Solanum lycopersicum: one gene and its partners. The protein of the gene in region 1 binds, or shares a complex with, the protein of each later gene. Links are inferred from orthologs where the notes say so. Each region holds a gene or a part of one and is shown in the gene's direction. Other genes may lie near its edges. The genes, in order: carbon catabolite repressor protein 4 homolog 4, carbon catabolite repressor protein 4 homolog 5, carbon catabolite repressor protein 4 homolog 6 and carbon catabolite repressor protein 4 homolog 3.

What was found.
Region 2: carbon catabolite repressor protein 4 homolog 4 (region 1) and carbon catabolite repressor protein 4 homolog 5 share a complex: the UniProt entries of both Arabidopsis thaliana proteins name them as parts of the CCR4-NOT complex. The link is inferred for Solanum lycopersicum from reciprocal best matches to the Arabidopsis thaliana genes AT1G31500 and AT1G73875.
Region 3: carbon catabolite repressor protein 4 homolog 4 (region 1) and carbon catabolite repressor protein 4 homolog 6 share a complex: the UniProt entries of both Arabidopsis thaliana proteins name them as parts of the CCR4-NOT complex. The link is inferred for Solanum lycopersicum from reciprocal best matches to the Arabidopsis thaliana genes AT1G31500 and AT5G11350.
Region 4: carbon catabolite repressor protein 4 homolog 4 (region 1) and carbon catabolite repressor protein 4 homolog 3 share a complex: the UniProt entries of both Arabidopsis thaliana proteins name them as parts of the CCR4-NOT complex. The link is inferred for Solanum lycopersicum from reciprocal best matches to the Arabidopsis thaliana genes AT1G31500 and AT3G18500.

The regions. Positions count from the first base shown.
Region 1 is NC_090807.1:61,302,436-61,307,353, reverse strand, and holds part of carbon catabolite repressor protein 4 homolog 4, read left to right. Parts: exon of another isoform or gene 1-401; coding exon of another isoform or gene 402-454; intron 455-3,029; coding exon 3,030-3,130; intron 3,131-3,221; coding exon 3,222-3,262; intron 3,263-3,878; coding exon 3,879-3,928; intron 3,929-4,417; coding exon 4,418-4,487; intron 4,488-4,790; coding exon 4,791-4,912; intron 4,913-4,918. UniProt on the Arabidopsis thaliana protein: Acts as a catalytic component of the CCR4-NOT core complex, which in the nucleus seems to be a general transcription factor, and in the cytoplasm the major mRNA deadenylase involved in mRNA turnover.
Region 2 is NC_090802.1:64,981,630-64,987,278, forward strand, and holds the start of carbon catabolite repressor protein 4 homolog 5, read left to right. Parts: upstream 1-2,386; 5' UTR 2,387-2,627; coding exon 2,628-2,952; intron 2,953-3,100; coding exon 3,101-3,264; intron 3,265-3,601; coding exon 3,602-3,667; intron 3,668-3,762; coding exon 3,763-3,815; intron 3,816-3,896; coding exon 3,897-4,119; intron 4,120-4,728; coding exon 4,729-4,775; intron 4,776-4,856; exon of another isoform or gene 4,857-4,912; coding exon 4,913-4,994; intron 4,995-5,649. Other genes in the region: B3 domain-containing protein At2g32645-like, read left to right, coding at 1-22. UniProt on the Arabidopsis thaliana protein: Acts as a catalytic component of the CCR4-NOT core complex, which in the nucleus seems to be a general transcription factor, and in the cytoplasm the major mRNA deadenylase involved in mRNA turnover.
Region 3 is NC_090807.1:57,877,146-57,882,063, reverse strand, and holds part of carbon catabolite repressor protein 4 homolog 6, read left to right. Parts: intron 1-254; coding exon 255-307; intron 308-1,641; coding exon 1,642-1,723; intron 1,724-1,820; coding exon 1,821-1,864; intron 1,865-2,002; coding exon 2,003-2,084; intron 2,085-2,575; coding exon 2,576-2,668; intron 2,669-2,837; coding exon 2,838-2,870; intron 2,871-2,990; coding exon 2,991-3,082; intron 3,083-4,918. UniProt on the Arabidopsis thaliana protein: Acts as a catalytic component of the CCR4-NOT core complex, which in the nucleus seems to be a general transcription factor, and in the cytoplasm the major mRNA deadenylase involved in mRNA turnover.
Region 4 is NC_090802.1:65,110,128-65,115,045, forward strand, and holds the end of carbon catabolite repressor protein 4 homolog 3, read left to right. Parts: intron 1-894; coding exon 895-987; intron 988-1,088; coding exon 1,089-1,121; intron 1,122-1,242; coding exon 1,243-1,358; intron 1,359-2,386; coding exon 2,387-2,498; intron 2,499-2,584; coding exon 2,585-2,670; intron 2,671-2,762; coding exon 2,763-2,847; intron 2,848-3,800; coding exon 3,801-3,902; 3' UTR 3,903-4,270; downstream 4,271-4,918. UniProt on the Arabidopsis thaliana protein: Acts as a catalytic component of the CCR4-NOT core complex, which in the nucleus seems to be a general transcription factor, and in the cytoplasm the major mRNA deadenylase involved in mRNA turnover.

The DNA.
Region 1 (4,918 bases):
TACTATTACTTTATTATCATCTTCTTTTAAAATTGATTGTCGTTACTTTATTATAAGTTTCTTATCTACTAAACTTTTTATAGAATTATCTATTTTTGATTTCAATACATAAATGTTGCTAATTATTAAATTAGAAGCCTAAAGGGAAAAACCAATTCAAGAGTAGCCCATTTTCTATCTTAAAATATGTCCAAAATTAGCTTGAATAACGGCCCAAATCCTCTATATAGCCCAACCCCAATGAAACGCGAACCCTAGATTCTTTCCTATAAATACAACCTTATTTTTCCATCAAAGGCTAGGTTTTGACACTCCTAAGGAAACCATTCTCTTACATCTACATATCATCCCTCAAAGTATTTTCTGTTCTCCTCCCCGTTTTGCTCAACTTTATTTGAAAAATGAGTGTAGAATTCGAGACCTCAATGAAGCCCCAGTTACTGCCCTGTGGGAGGTAAAAGCTGACTCCTCTGTCACTTATTTACTTTCTTTTAGATCAAAGTGTTTTGTTTGCTCAGAAATTTTAGTGAAGGTTGTTGTGGGACTTTTTTTATGACAAGGGAAACCCGCAGTCGCTACCCTTTGGGTGCGCAAAGGATAAAATCCCAGCTCCTATGCAATGCTCGCAAATCATATAGGAGACGCAATCCACACCAGGACCCAGAAGGGCAAGGGTTTTGAACTTGAGACCTCAAACATGAAGTCTCGAACTCAAACCACTGGGCCAACCCGAAGGGTGTTGATATGGGAATTTGTCTGCTAGGAAAAATCTAGAATGTACATTGTTGGGTTATTTGTGGCCAACCATGAACTTTTTATTTTGGCGCAATTGGGCTGCAACTTATTAGGTTAAGTAATTTAGTGCCCGCTTGGATAAGTTTAAGCAATTTATAAATCTATAGCTAAAAGTCATAAGTAGGATACCCTACTTTTGATTTATTTCAAAACTTTTTTGGCCTAGAGATGAATGTTTTAAAACACTTCTTAACTTTTTCAAATACCTCCAAAACTAAAGAAGTGCGTAAAAACCAAACATAAAAATAAGCTAATCCAAACACCCCCTTGATTGGGTGCAAGATTTGGACTAGTTTGTTTGATGGTATTTTTCTTCTTTAAATTGATTTTTTTGAGCTTCTAATTTAATAATTAGTGCAATATATCTTAACCATTGACAATAACTATATAAAATGTATAATATTTATAATTAATTTAATAGGTATGAAACTTATAATAACAATAATACATATAATTTTAAGAAGAGTGAAAATGATAACAACAACAATAATTAACAAATAGTAAAAATATCATATAATATATAACAACAGTAACAATAGTAATAATAAAAAATAGTAGTGATCATCGAATATTTGACTTATCAGTAATTTAGAAGCTCAATGAAATGATTTAGAAGAAAGGAGTAACAAAATTAGGTGTCAACAAGATCCACGTTACTTTCCACCACATTTGTTTCATTAACTATAATTTTGTCAACTTCCACCACCTCATCGCCTAGCACCCTTCCGCTTAGTATAGTAATGACCATACAATGGGCACCATTTCCATTATCATTCTATTTCACTGTATCACTAGGAAGGGGACCCTTTTCTTTGATTGAGCGAAGAAGATATTTGGCTAAGTTAAGACTGAAATTGGTTAATCGAAGTTGAGTGGGAGTTGACCACCCAATGTTTTATAAGCCATTTTAACCTTTTCACATTTGTGTCAGTAGACTCAACACTCTTGAAAGTGTCTTGTGGAGTCACTAGTGGACAATGGGCTACCTCTTGGAGGAGCATAGGTGTATAGGCTTCGATGATTGTAACCTTTGTTCTGGGCTCCTTGGTCCTTGATTTCTTGAACCTTGCCTTGAGGCTTGGGTTAAGATCGATACCAACAGTAATCCAAATACTAAAATTCCATGACCTTGATTGGATCCATGGTAGTTAGGGCGGGACCCCCCTACTTTGTTATTCACTATATGAGCCTCATTTTCAAAATCTTGATGACACTCTTCATTTCGGACCCCACATCACTTGGCCCAACTGAATTCTCTTTTCGGGTGCTAACTCCCATAGCATGCCTGGTGAGCATTGCCATTCCTATTGCTCACCTAACCATGTCGCTATTGTACCCCACAACCTTGTAAAGTATGCAATAACTGAAGAAATCTCCATGGGTGACAGTAAAACTATTCCTATTGCTCATACTTATTCAACTCTAATTAGGCATCTAAAACTACTTCTAAGCTTTTTGACACATTTTGTGCTCCATCAATGAAAAAAATCTCATTTTTGTAATTAAGTTTTGTCAATATAACCTCACATCTATTTAATTCTTTGTTTTTACTTGTGTCGGGAAGCACTCACGTACTCTATTGACCAATACACCAAATATACTTGGTTGTATACACTTACAAATGAAAGTGAGGTTGTGTCAATAATCTAAAGTTTCATCCTTTAGTTGAAAATTTCTTCACTTTGTACCGTCGGAGGGGGTGAGATCATCGGTCTTCAGCCCTATCTTGAGATAAACATGGATTTGAATCCTTAATTTCACCTCCTACGCAGGACAACGTGTTGCCATAGCTGAACGTAGGCATCGTCATATTCATGAAACCAATAAAACCAGTTCTTCATGGGAGCATCCTTACCACCTGAATTTTGGTCTTTTGCCTATCTTTATGTTGTCTACCTTACTAATCGACTTCCCGCTCCAATCCTGAATAATGCACCGCCCTACCAAAATTTTTTTGGTTGATAAATATAGAAGCCACCATAAACTGTTTTTCACCTTTTCCTTACTCCGTGCATCGCATAGGTGTCGACAACACACCTCTCTTTATATCACCAGGTACTTGAGGGTGGTAATAGATACTGAAAAAGGAAGTTCAGGGGGTTTATACAAACACCCATAGTTTGTGTAAGTTGTAAATGGAGCCAATACTAGGGGCTTCTTATCTATTATCTCCTTTTATCTTTTGATTGGAGACTTCATTTGCTTCTTCTTTTCTTGGTTTACAATATCTACAGAACAATTCATTTCGCCAAAATGAGCACAACACCTGCACCTCTGTCACCAAAATTTGTTCCTGCTGAAAAGAGTGGAATTACTTCAGTAAGCAAATCAGATGGTAAGTGGATTATTTAACTTTTCTTTTTCGTTTTTGTATGCTTTTGTTGTACAGCTGGAGTTAATGTTTTACTTTTTATCAATCGTTGCAGGTTTTAAGTTCAGTTTGGTATCATATAACATTTTGGCTCAGGTAATCCGACCATGTTCAAATTTCTTGACGCAATTCATTTATTTTATTATTTTTATGAAGTATATGCAAGTAATACTTCAGTAAAGGAAGTTAAGTGCTGCTTTCCTAAACTATTGAGCATCCTTATATGGCTAATACACTGTAAATTGTCTATCTTGACTTTGAAAATCAAATAAAAAATGTATTTATTCATCAGCCAAAGTACTCTTGTAAACTTTGTGAACATGTCACATCTTGGACAAACAAACAAATGAAAGTCAGAAGAGAGTGAGAAATCTGATCCTAACAAAAAGAATTCGAGGCCTCCCTCTGCTCGCCTGTGGTTGAACCACCGTGTTAAGTAGAGCATACATATCTGGATAGGAAAGCCATTATTGATGCACACATTTGCTGTTAATTAGTCAAGTGTACTACTAACATGCTTGGTATGTCCTTTGATTTGTCTTTTAGGACTATAGTGCACAATTCAAGTGATGTTATCTCATACCTTGAGACTTGTATTCTGAGATGTTAGTCAGTTCTAGTTTTTCTTGTTACTGATTCAAGCCATTTAATCTATTGAGCTGTATGGATTCTGTTTGCTGATATTTCGTTGTTCTGAGATTTTTTATTGTAGGCATATGTTAAGGGTGATCTGTTTTCACACTCCCCAAGGCCTTGTCTCAAGTACGTCATCTATATCCAAGTTTTCATTTTTGCATTTCTTATACAGAGCCTGTCGGATATTGTTTCTCTTCTCTTTGGAAAGTCCAATGCGATTTGATTACATGTTTGAGTGGACCCAAATTAACTTGTTTATAATGCCTAAGGCCTTTATGGAATTCTAATATGATTGTTTCATGTTGCATTACATTAGTATTATATTCCTTGCCTTCAAGACTGTTGGAGAAATGCTTCAAGACTTGGAGTCAGGAGCATATGACTTTTATTGGATTTTAGTAATTCTCTAAGCTAGTGTTAATAGAAGATACATAGTCGTGTTTTAGTCAATTTTACTTCTTTTCTCTTCGAGTATTTGAAGAGCATCTATTGTAAAATTTATTTCCAAAGCATTGTGACTTGAAGCCATGTGGAATGAGCCTTCATTGAGACAGTTTTCAATTTCTTTCTTTTACTCGTAATTTCAGAATCAACATTTGTTAAGTGTTGTGTTAGGTGGAAAGCTCGTTCACAGGCAATCCTGACAGTTCTCAAGAGCCTTGGGGCCGATTTCCTTTGCTTACAGGTTTGGATTTTTTGATAATTTAAGATTGAGCAATATACAGTCATCCATTTTCCTTCTAATAACAACTTCTACAGCAAAAGGTTGTGGTGAAGTGGCATCATTAACTGGAGGAGGGAGGGAATAAGGTTGCCTTTGGCAGGGGATGCTTTACCCCAGAAAGTGGGTTTTCCTGACGCGTATCCGTAATAGTTGGGCCCTAAAGTTCATACCTGAAACCGGGAGGGGAACTTTAAAAAAAAAAGAAGAAAGGAACTTCTAATTTCTTCTAGGTTATATTTTAATCAAGATTGTGTTATGTGCCAGGAATTGGATGAATATGATAGCTTCTACAAAGGAAATATAGAGAGTGTTGGCTATTCAAGTATCTACGTCAAAAGAAATGGGCAGAAGCGTGATGGATGCGGGATCTTTTATAAGCCGGATAGGTGACC
Region 2 (5,649 bases), on another chromosome or scaffold:
GAAAACGAAGGTGATCAACTAGCAATAAACGAAGAAAATGATGATAATGAAGTTACAATACAAAAAGTTAATAGTGAAGAGCAAAACGATAGTGATAGCACAGAAAATCTTGCTCATTAGAGGAGTATATATCTATATCTATATTATATTATATAAAGAGAGATAGAAACAATACATTTATTTTTTTCCGTTTGATTGGCTTTTTTTAAAAAAAATTGTTTATATTCTAAAACATCTATAAATTTGTAATTTCTCATTTTTTACTTTTTTTTTTCTACTTGTGCGCAATGAAGTGTGATAATAGAGTATTTCTTAAATCTCTTTTAACATTTCAACATTGAGGTCCTCAACTTATATTAATATAAGGGAACTTTCGCAAATAATTCATATAATAAACTTAATTATGGTTTATATATTTATGGGTTATAGTTACAGTTTAAGTTGTCTTACATTGTATAATTTGCGGGAACATATATATAATTTAATTTTTTTTATAAACTCAAAATAACGTATTTATACAATTACAAACATTAAAAGTGTACACAGTTAAAAAAATCATATCATACAAAAGTTATCCAAATTATATTATTACAAATTTTGAATCATACAAACATGTGAATTATACAAAATTAAAAAATTGAACACTTATTATAGCTAAAAATAAGTGACAAATTGTAATTCACATAAAATACATATATTGACTAACTAGTATATATTTACTTATACACATATTTTCCAATAAAAAAACTCATATCAAATATTTTACATTAAAAGAACTCATATTTTAATAACTTGTACTTTAAATTTAAGCAAATAATAAAATATTAAGAGAAACTATGTATAACGAAAAGGTGTCGTTAGAACAATTAAAAAATAATAAGTTAATTTAGGAATTCAAGACAATAATTAGGTTTCGAATTAAAAAGATGGATAACTTTCACATATAGCAAATAAAAAAATCATATTTAGTATGTCATAGCAAAGTTTGCATAATTGCGCTTATAGCAAACATAGAAAATGTATAATTCGCTATACATATACAGTTAAAGCAAATTGTATAAAACGAAGTGTATAAAACAAGAAAGAGAAAGACACTTGGGCAGAAAACTATATAAAAACGAAGTGTATAAAACGAATTGTATTATTATAAGTTTATAGAATGATTATATACAATTTGAATTTGTATAAAATGAGAAAGAGAGAAAGGCAAAAGAGGCTTGACAAGGAATATACAATTGGATCGAATTGTATAAAACGAGAAAGAGAAAAATTAGATACAATTTGAAAATTGTATAGAACGAGAAAGAGATAAAGGCAAAAGAAACAGGGCAGGGGAGTATTTTTATTGTATAGTCATAAGTGTATAGGACGAAAATATATGTATTTACATGTGTATATACAATTTTCTCACGCTTTATACAAACAAAAACGCAATTTATACATTTCGCTTCTGTTTGTATAAGTGAGAAAGGTGAGGGTGGCGAGCGAGATTTGAGAGAGTGGCGAGCGAGATCTGAAAGAGGGGAGAGAGAGAGGAACAAAAATATATGTATTTATACAATTTTCTCTGTTATATATAATTAGAAACAATTTTATTACACTTGTATTTGTATAAAAAGTGAGGAAGCGAGCGAGAGATTGGGGAGGGAGGCGAGCGAGATATTGGGAGAGAGGCGCCTGACAATTTTTTACAAACGCTTGTTATGGAGCCCAATTAAATCAAACACTAGCTACTCCATTTATTTTAAGTTATTAGTTTGTTATTATATATAATTTTCCCTAAAAAGATTGCTAGTAAAGTTATAGAGAAGACCAGCTAATTCCTTATTAAAAATTTTAAATTAAAAGTTATGTACATTTATTTTAAATCATATTCTAATAAAGTGAAATTATGCGATTAAGCAAATATGTATTATTTAACTAATCACTACATATATTAGTGATAATTATGTCACTCGCTTTTTTCAGTTTGTATAAGCGCGTAGATTTTTGAATATAATTTTGTACAATTTTTGTATAATATAATTTTTGTAAGTATTTAAAATTCAAATGTTTGTGTTTGTATTAATTTGTTATTTCGAACTTATACAAAGATAAACACAAATCAATTAATATCAATCAATTTATATTAATACAAAAGAAAATGACTCAATTATATAAATATACTCGCGAATTATATAAATGAGATCGCTTATAACACCTTAAATTATAGCTAAAGCTCATAAATATGTAAACTATTATTAAATAAAATAATTATATTTATTATAATAACTATTTGGGAAAATTTGATAAACGGTGTAGGTAGCAGGTACACCGTACACCAAGCAAGGACTTAATTCCAGTTGAAAATAAAGGTATTAATTCTCGAGTTATGCCATAAATAAATAGAAAATTTTGTATTAAATTTAAATATTAATAATATTTTTTTAATCTTAAAAATACTTAAAATACTATTCTAACCAAACTTTGGCCAAAAGGATTTTTTTTAATTGTCATTATTTACAGATAACTTGGAGAATTTTAATTTTTTTCTAATATGCGAAAATATTCATGTCCTTTTAGTTCCATCCCTATTCGTCCTGTAAAAGGTTAAACACGCGCCGCCCAAATTCAAATCTCCCGGCAACATGGGCCGAACCGGCGACGGCAGAGATCAACCGGCGGAACAGCCTTCTCGATTTTCAGCAATGAAAAGTAGAATTCGTCAACATGATATCGGTAAACACCGTAGCAAGAAGAAGCAAAGAGTATCAATACGTAAAACTGAGACTGAATCTGCAACCGTAACCCTAAATCATACTTCTACTTCTTATACACATTCATATGCAAATTCGTACTCATACTCGTACAGTAGGGGCAAAGAAAAACGGCATAAAGGAAAAGCAAAGAGGGCAATTGCAGATGATAAACGCAAGTGGGTTTACTCTACTCACGACGTTTCCCCAAATCAAGGTTACCGATTGTCAATTGATAAGAAATTTCATCGGTTCTTCTATTTGTAGTCTTTAATGTGTCTGCAATCATATACAGTATTTTTTTTTGAATTTGGCATATGTGTATCCGCCTTTATTGTGTCTGAATAATCATCTTAATTTTGCAGATAGAGTTATTCTTATGTCGTATAACATACTAGGGGTAAAAAATGCAGCAGCACATGAGGACCTGTACCGCAATGTCTCTCCAAAATATTTGGATTGGGACTACCGGAAGAAGCTCATATGCAAAGAAATTAGGGACTATAATCCGGATATAATGTGTTTCCAGGTAACTTTTAATTTCAAAGTTTGTAGTTTTCTGTATATTTATTCTTCATAAAAGGGAAGGAGAGGAAAATAGAGCTAAGAAGTTAAGAAAGCCTACTGTATATTTATTCTTAAAAGATACACCCATGATTTGGTTCAGTGTGATAGAGGTTCGGATGCATTATTCATAGAGTTGGAAGTTGAAAACAACTGATTTCTCGATTATCCAAATAAAAACATTGTAAATGAAATTATTGTTTCACTATTTTCTCGCCGAGACTGTTTGAATTACTGTATGAACACATTGTGTAGATGTTCAGCCATTTTAGAGGAACTTATTTCTTCTTGTAAACCTGCAGGAGGTTGACCGTTTTGATGATTTAGATTATCTCCTCCAGAAAGAGGGCTTTAAAGGGGTTTATCAGGTCTAATGTAGTGGAACTTTTCTATGGATGACCTGTATGTTGAATTCTTTGTCACATTTTTTAATCAAATGGCGTTTTTCTTTTTCCTTTACCAGGCTCGTACAGGTGATGCAAGCGATGGCTGTGCAATATTCTGGAACAACAAGCTGTATGGTCTTTGATTCTTTCTTAATTTCTCTTGGATTTTGTTGCTGCTTACTAAGCTAGGTTCTTTTTATGGGAAATGAAGACCTGCTGGCAAAAGCTGCAGTTTTTGCTCGTCATTTTTGGCTACGTCTACGGAGATTGAAAACTGTCTGCTGCTAATTGTTTCCATTTCTTTCTTATCTAATTTATGCTACTTCCAATTTACAAATATATCTGGTTACAGATTTGACATTCTGCATGAGGAGAGCATAGAATTCCAGAATTTTAATCTACGCAATAATGTTTGCCAACTTTGTGTTTTTAAGGTAAATCTGCCATGCATTTCATTATTAGTTTCTTTTTTTTTTTGGGGGGTGGGTGGGTTTTGCACTAGGGATAATATTGCCCAGTGTAGTGATGATGTGCCTTATTTATTGGAGGCTTTGGTCTCTTTTAATTTGTTTGATATCTTTCTTTGGCACTTCCAGTGTGCTGATTATTTTGATAAGTTACTAAACAATGTTACTTTTGGTAGTTTGTACTTAGCAGAATCAGCTGATCAAACAAATCAGCTTGCTGCAGTGACTACATGCCTTTTTCTGGATTTACTCTCTGTTTGAGACAACTGCATGCTAAGCTTCATTTTATCAGGCATTTTTAATCTTATTTAAAGAATAGGCTACTAATCTCAGAATAACGGTGTGATGTCATTACATGAATGCACTCTACACATGCTGCACATATTATGACATGACAGGATATATCATTTCATCATCTCTGTTCTGGACATTGATGTTGCATGAAATTTCTTAGACTATCATGCAAGCCTGTTCTTATTTCCCCTGCACACTACAAGATGGTCGCAAAGAGTTTATTTTACTCTAATGTTCAAATGGGGTCTACTTTGATGTGTAGTTCTTTTAATTAACTTTTAGATGAATGTGAAAAGTTCAACCAAGGATGTGAGTGCTTCAAATTCGGAGTAAGTCTGCTCTATTTTATTTTATTCTCAAATGTTGAGTTTTGTATGATGCTGTGATTACTTAGTTTATGTAAGTTTTAGTTTCAGTTTCTCAATTCTGGTCAATATGTTATGGTTGCTCGAATGTTTGTGGTTAGGAGTGTATCCTCGCCAAGCTTTCTGGTTGGCAATATTCATGTACTCTACAACCCCAATCGTGGAGACATCAAATTGGGACAGGTATAACTTTTAAGCAACAACTAATGGTTGATCGTTTTACGACGAATCAACTAGTACTTTGGATAATAGTATTGTCACTGAACACTTGGACGAATGTTCCGTTAACTTGGTTTTTTATATTACTGCCAGCACCAATATTCCACCCCCTCCACCCCTTTTAAACCCCCCTTCCAAATAAAACTATAATTTTGTTTAGGCACGCTGTACTGAATGGTATTTCGTCTCTTTTATGCTTGGAAGCTTTTTCCCTTTAATTTGAATAAAGCAGGATAAATTCTGCTTGGGGGTTGGTCTTAACTTTTAAATTCCTTAATCCTTACTAAAGCGTCTTCGCTTCACCTGATGGCTGATGCATGTTTACATCTGCCTCCTTAAAAAAGACTAGTGGTGTGACTGTCACTGAATTTGGTTCTAGGACCAATAGTTTTATTTTGACATTTTTATCTGTCCTATAACATCTCTCTCTCACTATTTGTTTTTGTAAGGAGCGTCTCCATTAGGATTCTTAAAGCTTGCATAGCACTTCCCTTGTTTATTTTGCTTGATCATTAGTTGTTCTAAACTTATCAACTCTTCATTTGAAATTAAATTTTATGAACTAAATCTTAAACTGGTTTCAAATGGTGATTCTGTAGTGAAAAAGTTTCAAAGAACT
Region 3 (4,918 bases), about 3.4 Mb from region 1:
GGAATGAGGACCCAATAATAAATTTAGCAAACATCTTAGAGGGAGGCTTTCTTACTTGATTTTGGAATGCTGAATAATCCTCTGTGTGTTTCAAAACAAGGAGGGTTTATAATTTGAGTTTCTTATTCGCTAAATCAGAACCATTGTATGATTTCTTTGATAAACTCCAAGTCGTTTGTTTCATAGTACTACTTTCTTGTGCCACGTGGAATTGATTAGCTGATTAACATGATTATATTTGATGTTTGATGTAGAGGCGTACCGGAGATCCAGCTGATGGATGTGCAATATTTTGGCATGCATCAAGGCAAGAAAATTCTATTCCTTTGCACCCTCAAATTGGAAGAATAGACTAAATTGACAATGCTGGTACTTAATTGTTGCATGAGGAAGCCCTTAGTTAAAATGTTTTTTGTTTATTGATCAAGTGTTTTGTACATTTGTTCTAGTCATGCCTTTGCAGATATTTGATACTTTTAGCTGTTACGTCTGTTCTTCAGTGGCTTTTATCTAGCTTCTCTTTTATGGATTTTATGCAGTTCTTACAGGCTCTATTTTTCTAATAGTTAGTCCTCAAAATTTGTCGTCCTTCCTTGGCAATCCTATAGCACTCTGTTGCCCATATATAAATGAATTAAGGATTGATAAAGTGTTCTTTATGGAGGAGTGCTAACAGCATAATACTTCTTTCTGCACCGGCAAACACAATCAGCCATTCAGTCTATCATGTTTTAGTGTGTATTGTTTCCTTGATAAACTAATCACATTTACTTCCCTCATTCTATGATCAATGTTATTCTTTCTGCATTAGCAAACATAATCAATCACATTTTAGTGCATATTGTTTCCTTGATTAACTTGTCAGATTTTACTTGCCTTATGCTATGATCATCATCGTTTGAACTTCCACGAATATCAAAATTTTGTCCCTATAGTTCTTATATTGTTAGTATTTTGGCTTCCTGGTTTCCACAGATTTGTATCTTTTGGCAGTTCTACACCTAATATTATATGGACAAATGTTAAACTCTTGTCGTACTTCATTGCCAGTGATGGTTGTTTTCTAATGACAACTGCTGGTCCATATATGATATATCATTTCTGGTAAAAACATAGTCACTGATTTTGGCTGTTTGAAAAGCTTGTATATAAGCTATTGGATATATTGTACTGATTTGCATAGCAATGAGTTACTTTGATGTGCTTACTAGCTTCAGTGATTCTTAACTATGTGTCTGTTCAATGTAAACATTGGTGTCACAGAATCCAGTCTTATGTTACATCATTGCCACTTTTGTAGTGTCTCTGGTAATGTGCATTTCTATTGGTGTGAATTCTGTACTATAGCTAAGCTGGAACTTGCTTGATATGCTCGCGGTCATTTAAACATGCTGGTAGTCATTTCTAGACCTTTGGCAAATATAATTTGGCTGTATGTCTAGAGATCCGCGATTCTGGCATATTAATTACTTTTGCTTGATTACTCTCAGATCCTCAATGCACTATTCAATGATTTGTGTTATCATCTTAATTTTAACCTTTTGGCGTATATTTTTTGCAAGATGCAGTACGTGTGATGACATCTAACTACTGGTCCACGATATTATCTTGTCTGAATTTAATTTAAATTTTTTATGTTAGATTCAAATTGGTGCATGAAGAATTTGTTGAATTTAAAAAGTTTGGGCTTCGGGATAATGTTGCCCAGATATGTGTATTTGAGGTGCGTAAATTCTTCTTAAATATTTCATCGCTTTACTGTGGGTATCTTCAAGTTCAAAACTTGCTTTTCTGATGTTGTGTTCATCTATTGCTAACAGTCTCTTGGTCAGCAAAATAAGAGTTCACCAGCTCCCTTAGCAAGGTAGGTCTTCTTTGTTTTGAGAGTTGCACTGTATAACAACTTACTCTTGAATGTTTGATTTGTACCTTATCATTCAAATATCTGTTGAGGGCTTTCTTATTTTTTTCCTTTTCCCCAACTAAATTATTGCACTTGCAGCACTGGTCACTCCAGTAAGGTTGTAATTTGTAATACTCATGTGCTTTTCAATCCTAAAAGGGGAGATATTAAGCTCGGACAGGTACTTATTGTCAATTAATACTGTCTTTTCAATTTTCATCAATGTGTGCAATTTATTTCGAAACAGCTATCCAGTACTTGTATATCCTTTACTTGGTAGTTATCCAATCACACTTTACTCTACTTCACACATTAGCAACCTGCTAGATTGTAGTCATTGCTCATATATGTATCTTTACTGATTTCCCTGTGTGCTAAAATGCATTTAAAGAGAAACTAGTATTTATCATGTTTCTGTGATAAGTGAATACAACCTCTGTTTATTAGAGGAAAGTGCCCCCTCCTGTCTCGCCCCGTTTCCATCCTACTTCCCTCATTTAGTATAGCATACTTGGCAGATCTGTCTCGTTTGTTTACTCATAAATTTGGTTTGCTTTCAATTCATGATTGACACAACTTCTTTAGTTTAGCATTTTTAGATGCAAGGGAGATACCACTTGATTGGATTCAACTCTTCTTCTGTTTAGTGTAAATAAATTTTGTGACAACCAGGTTAGGGTGCTTCTGGATAAGGCTGGTGGTGTTTCAAAACTTTGGGACAATGCTCCTATTGTAATTTGTGGAGATTTTAACAGTACACCAAAGGTGGGTTCAATAATTCCCATCGAAGCGCTTATGACATGTTTTTCCATCAGTGCATATATTCTACTCTTACTTGCATGTGAGAATGTTATGTTGTGCAATAGTTCTGTTCATCTTTTTACACTTCCCAGAATCCATGCAATAATTCCTTATTCTTCTTCTCCTTTACCAGAGTCCATTATACAACTATCTTGCCGAGGAAAGAGTAAGCTTCAGATAATATTTTCTTTCTTGTTGCTGCCCCCACTCCTTTTCTTCTGTGCCTTCTCTAAAGATATGATGATTTTGTGCTTTGGAATGCATTTTGGATATTTTTTTCCCACAGCTAGACTTATCAGAAGTGCCTCGGGATAAAGTGTCAGGACAGGAATCAGCTACAATTTATACAGTGAAGCACAGCTTCAATGCTAGTGCTAGGTAACGACTTCTTACCTTGTTAAAAGAAATTACGTTAAATTCATGGAGACTTTGTACTACATTGTTTCCTCCTTGACCTTTTCTTCTGAATTCCTTGAAACAGCTCATGTATAATCCTACAAGTTTTCTACTTCAATATCATTGCTCAACTACGCCCCAATCCCTAGCTATTTGGGGTGGACTATATTAATCCATCCTGTATATCATTCTTCTCTATTTAGGTCCAGTACATTTCAATACTTGTATATAATGTATTTTTGATGTAAATCAGTGACTTTTTAAAACTAGAGGTTCTAAAATTCACTCTTATTGCTACACTGGCATACAGGTATTTAATCAAATTAGAAAGACTTTTGACAAACTCTGGACTTCATGCAAGTGTAACAACTAATGATTAATCCCTATAGTTGGTATTGCTAATATGGATTCTTTGTTTTTTCTTTGGCTAAACTAAGAGATTAACATTGTAGGGAGATGTCATATTATCATAGTTGTAAACCTCTCAGCTCCATTACAGAAAAGACAAAAAAAAAATATTTTTTAGCGCCAGTACATGAAGTCTATTCTAGAGCTTAGGAGCTAACAAAGTCCAAAAACAAGTCAAACATTAACATGTGTGAGAAAGCTCCAACTGAATAAACAAACTGAACATTTCGCCTTTGTTAATGTGGATCCTTTGCTTTCGTAGTGTTCTAGAGAGTTTGTGGGCCATTCTAGAAAATTTAGCTCCATATGATTTTGGTTCGCCTTGTCCTTTTGGTCTTCAAGGCTCAAAGGATCATTGTACCATCACACCTATAGGCTGGTTCATTCAGAAGTTCACTAAATATATCAAGTTATCTCAAGCACCTTCTGTCATTTTATTCTCAATGTGCTTTACTTGCATTCTCTGTCTGATCTAATCATTTCTAGTTTGTCTATTACTAAATACTCCCTCCGTCCCATTTTATATGTCATCTCTTTCTATAAATAGTTGGTCCATAATACTTGTCATTTCATTAAATCAATGCATAAATTAGCATATTGTTCCTTTTTTACCCTTGTGAGTTATTAGCATTGAAAACATACATTGGACCAACTTAGAAAAGTTAAGTAAATGATTTATGTTCATTGATTAAATTAAATAATCAAAATAAATTAATTCATATTCATTGATTGAGAACTTGAGTTCCAAAGAAGGGTAAAATTACATCATCTCTTAATGCAAGTGCAAGGTAAAAAGATGACATATAAAGTGGGATGGAGGGAGTAACTTACCAAATGCGGTGTCCATTTTTTCTGAGGATTTGAATTTGGCTTGTAGGGATTGCAGTGAAAAAGAATTATAAAATGCAAGATCATTATGGGCTGTCCACCGGTCCTTTCTTTGGATTTGTTGATCACATATTCATGTTGAGATTTAAGCACGGACCTATTAAAAATTGTATTTTGAGTTTCTATATTTTATATTAAGGAAGGATCTTATGTTCTTTCTGTAAATGAAGGAAGATTCACATTTACTTCTCTCTCTGATCTAATCATTTCTAATGTTGTGTTTTGGATGCGTGGGAAGCCCTTAAATTAAGTATTTAATTATTATTTTAGTAGCTTTATTTATTATTCTAGAATAGGGTTTATGTTACATAGTTTTATAATGATTAGGTTATGCTAATTTGGAATCGTAAGAATTAGACTTCCTATTGATGTGATAAGACTCCTATTTAAAGGGGATTTTGATGAATAAACTGGTATGTCATATTTCAGTAAAAAGCAAAAGATTGGAGTTCTCTCTTCCATTGAACTCTAAGGTTTCAGTCTCCCTTCAATGAGCTAAAGTTATATACAAAAATAGGTCGA
Region 4 (4,918 bases), on another chromosome or scaffold:
TGATGTTATACCTCTAATTTCTAATTAGTTACTTGTATTGTTATTTTTCAAGCTTGATTGAAGTTGTTGAACTAATTACTTGCAAGCCTTTATCTCTTTCATTGTTATTTTCAAGATTTTTTTTAAATAATATCGACAATTTTATGCCCAATAACATTAAATTCATAGTGCATACGTAACAACTCACATAATATTGTGTTCTCTAATACACTTTAGACCTATAATATAATTATTCCATAAAGACTACATATGACTTTTATCTATTCCATCTGAAATACACAAGGTATGATTTAACACTTGATCTATTTTAATACTTATCCTTAGATTGGCAACGCCGGTTGGCTCGACCAATTCTTAGTTCTTATTTCTCCCAGCTTGCTCAATTGTTGTTTAGATTAGTCCTTACTTTCAATTGCATCGTTTTCTTTAATCTGTCCTGACATTAATGCAAATGGGACACATTTCAAACACTTTGTTTTATCTTCCTTCTCCTGCTTCTTCTGTTAAACATCAACTCTTTCACGGTTTTTGACATCCTTTATGGAGTGTATGAGGCAGAAAGTAATGCGTCGTACTAGGGACAACTGTTTATACTTGAACTTCAAATCATGTTTCATCAGCATACCACTTGACATCTGAACAAACTCCCGTATAGAAAGAGATCTCTCAATCTTTGTTCATGTTCCATGTGAAATAAGTGTGCAACATTGTGGTGAGAAAAATCTAGTTCTTGCTACAAAATGTGTGTTTTTCCTCTTCTGATGGCATGCTTAACTTTAGACATAAACTATTTAAATTCCCAACTGTCAGCAGATTGACGTGTGGTACCAAGGATTGCTATTTGCTCCAGTTTGTCACCATGTGGTAACTTATCACTTAAATTCTTCCTTTCAGATTCGTTTTCTTGCATCAAGGGCACACATACTTTCAGAAAAGTGGGACCATGTACCTATTGTGCTTGCAGGTGATTATAATAGTACTCCCCAGGTGTGAATAGCTGAAATATATCTTTACGAAGTATGTTATTGACTTCTATTTTTAAAAATTACTTGCTGAAACGATGCCTCTTTGTTTATCCCTTGTGACAGAGTCCAATCTACAAATTCTTGTCATCATCCGAGGTAATATGCCAGATCCCAATTTTGTATCCTTTATGCAATATTAAAGTACTTCTTAAGTAATATGATCAGCATGCTTTTTCGTTGAATTGTTTGCTTCTCAAAGGTTTTGTTTTTGATATAGCAGCTCAATCTAATGCTACATAACCGAAAAGAGTTATCTGGTCAGAGACTATGCCATCCCTCTCAAGTTCTTGGTCTGAGAAGAGAAAAGGGGATTTTGTTTGTTTTAATGGACAGGTGAAGCAAGGATCTTCCAGTACTTATTATATCTTTTGAAGGTCTATGTGCTCCTATAAATCAGATAGCTAGAGTGTTCATAAAACCTAAGGGGGGTCATAAGTTGCTTCAGTTTTTTTTTGTGAGAAAACAATGTGGTGTTTTTTAACATGACAATCTTCTCTATATCCTCATTCTCAGTTTTCAACTTCTCTATAATGTAGGGGTGTCAAATGGGCGGGTTGGTTGAAATTGGAAATATTAAAATGGGTTGAATAGAAATCGGGCTGGGTCTTGACCAGCCCAATTTTACTTTGGACTCAAATGGATTGGGCTCAAATGGGCTAAAAAAACGGGTTGGGTCTTGACCCGCCCAATTTGACCCGATTGATCTCAATAATTTAACATATTGATATTTGACTTTTATAATCACAATTTGAATTTCCCCTCAAGAATTATTTGTTTAAAAAAGTAACAAATGGATAGATAAATCCTAAAAGATGTTAAATAGACAATAATTCATACCTCCGATATAGGAACATGTCTTAAGAAAAAGTTTTAAAACGGATTGAAATTGGAGATTGAATTGAGCTCAATTGAGAATTCTCTTCAAATGGGTTAAGCTTGAACGGGTTGAGATTGAACCCAATTCAAATTATTTTGAGCCCAACCCTTAAAATTATGGGCGTGTTACCTATGTTTTGGTCAACTTCACTATATCACCAAGTTTGTTTATGGGGATAAGACTTCGTCACATTGATAGAATATAACAAAAATGGAGATATGAAATTAACCATTTACATAAGGCTTAAATATTTAATAATCATAAAAGACGTATAACTCTTCCAACTGTTTATGTTGGTTGTTGCTGATTTTATTTGGGTTCAGCTATTAATGCCCTTCCTACATTGTCATGTGTGTTTGATTCTTGATCCATTTATGTTTGAGATTTCTGATATCAATTGGTTTACTTGTGAGAAAACTAAATTATTTGTATTATCATATGATTCTGATGAAGAATTCTGTTGTGTGCATGCAATTGACTTCAGATTTTTTAATTCTCGATGGAGCGATGAGGAGATAAATGTTGCGATTGGTGCCCTTAAATCCCACATAGCTATGCACCCTTTGAAGCTAAATAGTTCTTATGCGATGGTGAAGGTAAGGCTTGTCCTTCCTATCTACAGTTTTTGTTTATTTCTTTGTATATTCCTCTTATGCAGACGCTACCTCTTCCTTCTTCTTAGGGACCTCTAACAACAAGGGATAACAGTGGTGAACCATTAGCCACATCTTTCCACTCGAAGTTTCTGGGAACTGTTGACTATTTGTGGTACTAATGATGTTGATTACAACTGCTACTCATATTTTTCTTCTAACTTGATTGAAGGGAGTAAGCACTAAAGTAAAATCTTCCACATGCAGGTATTCTGATGGTCTTGCACCCACAAAAGTTTTAGATACTTTACCAATTAATGTCTTGAAGAAAACAGGTGGTCTTCCCTACAAGGTATTGTTCTTCTGACATAGTAACTTGATGTTGTTAATAAGAACGTCTTAGATTATGCAAAAGAAGCAAATACATTAATAAGGTTGTTAAAACATCTAGTAAATGAGGAGGTAATATATCTCATATAGTCACTTAACTTTGATACTTCACTTAGAAAGTCACTCAACTTAGAATTGTTCACTTAGAAAGTCACTAACTATTGGTATTTCACTCAACTATTAATATTTCATTTATTTAGTCACTCAATCGACTCAAATATTTTTTTCATTAAATTTTATTAAAATAAAACATCTATTTTAATTATCTTATTGACCAACTCTAATTATTTATTTATTTATTTATTTTTTATAAAAGGTTGGAATCAAGAAGTTAAGAATCCAAAAAAAAAAAAACTGTAGCAATCTTATTTTTTTTTAAAAAAAAATAGTTCAAAAGATTATATATTTAAAATATTTAGTAAAATAATTAAGAGTGTCTTATTAATTTTTAAATAAGTTTAAAACAAAAATAGTATTTTAGCAAAATTTAATTTTTAAAACATTTAAATTAGTTGAGTGACTTTCTACGTAAAATATCATAGTTGAGTGACTTTCTTAATGAAAAACTTGTAATTGAGTGATTTTTGAGTTATAACACAAAGTTGAGTGACTTTCCAAGTAAACTACTCTAAGTTGAGTGATTTTCTAAAAGAACTATTGAAAGTTGAAGTTGAGTGACCATCTGAGATATTAACTCAGTAAATGACCTAATGCTTGATTGCACATTTGGGATAGATTCAGCCATCAAGAACCATTGTCACAACATCTTTTCTTTGTGGTGAACCAGTAAAGGTTTATTTCGTAAGCCGGATAAGAGCACTCCTAGATCTCATTACGTTTGATATATTCCTTGAGATGTTTTGTGTGTTGAGTTCTTCTCTAAAGCTAATTTTGATCTGAATTTCTGGACCGCAGAAATTGGGTAGTGATCACTTGGCTTTGGTTTCTGAGTTTGCATTCTTGGAAGTTATTGGAGCAACTGAAGACCGTCTATCAGTTAAAGGTGACATCTGTTAAACAAACTCCTCATCATGGCATGCAGGTTCAAGACAACATGGGAAACAAACTGGATATTGCATATGTCAAACAGAGTTGCATGAATTAAGTTGAGAGTAAAACATGACAGTATAGTTTGTGATTACTAAGCAAATGCAATGTTCTATCCGCTGTTGACTAGAATTATACTACCTACAAATGATTGTTGTAGCGTAGATGATGGGAACTCATTGTTCGGACATATGAATATGTAATCGTTGAACAAATCTGTACCTTTAATATCGTCTCAAGTTTTTGTTTGCAACTCTGCATTGCACTAGGAACATATATGTAATAATGTCAACACAAAACCAAGTTTGCAGCGTTATGATCTCAAAATTTTCACAAAACCAAGTTTGCAACGTTATGATCTCAAAATTTTCTCTTCCTAATGAGATGTTATCAAGACTTGGCTAACAGGATGAGAAGTACTTCTTCCTGGGTTTGCAATTTGCATCTAGTTAGCTGGGTGGGCAACAAATTTCATTTAGTTCCAACGTCTTTGTCCATATAAAATTCTGTTCCTCTCAAATCGTTTGGTCATGTGAAATGAAATTGAAAGTCATATAAGATAAAGTTGAAATTTTAAGCCAAATATATTTTGCTCATAAAACTCACATAGTACATGTCACAAAGGAATTCTAGATAAAGAAATTATGTAACAGTCATGGATTGAATTTTGGTTCAATAAAAAAGTAAAATTGAATATGAGTAATATTTATCTACCAACAAAAATAGCATTTGGTAAAAAAATTATCAAAGAGACATGTGATGGAAATGAGATATTTAGTGTAAACAAATAACATTTATGTGGGTAAGAATAATAGTTATATTCAATAAAAATGGTTTAAAGCATTATAAGAGAATAATGTTAACAATATCTTTTGTTTGCATATTAAATAAAGGGTTGGAGGATATAAAATGGTGGATTTTTTTTACAAAATGTGGGTTAATTTTTGTATTTGAAAAATGTGAAATCATATATAAAGTTTTTATAA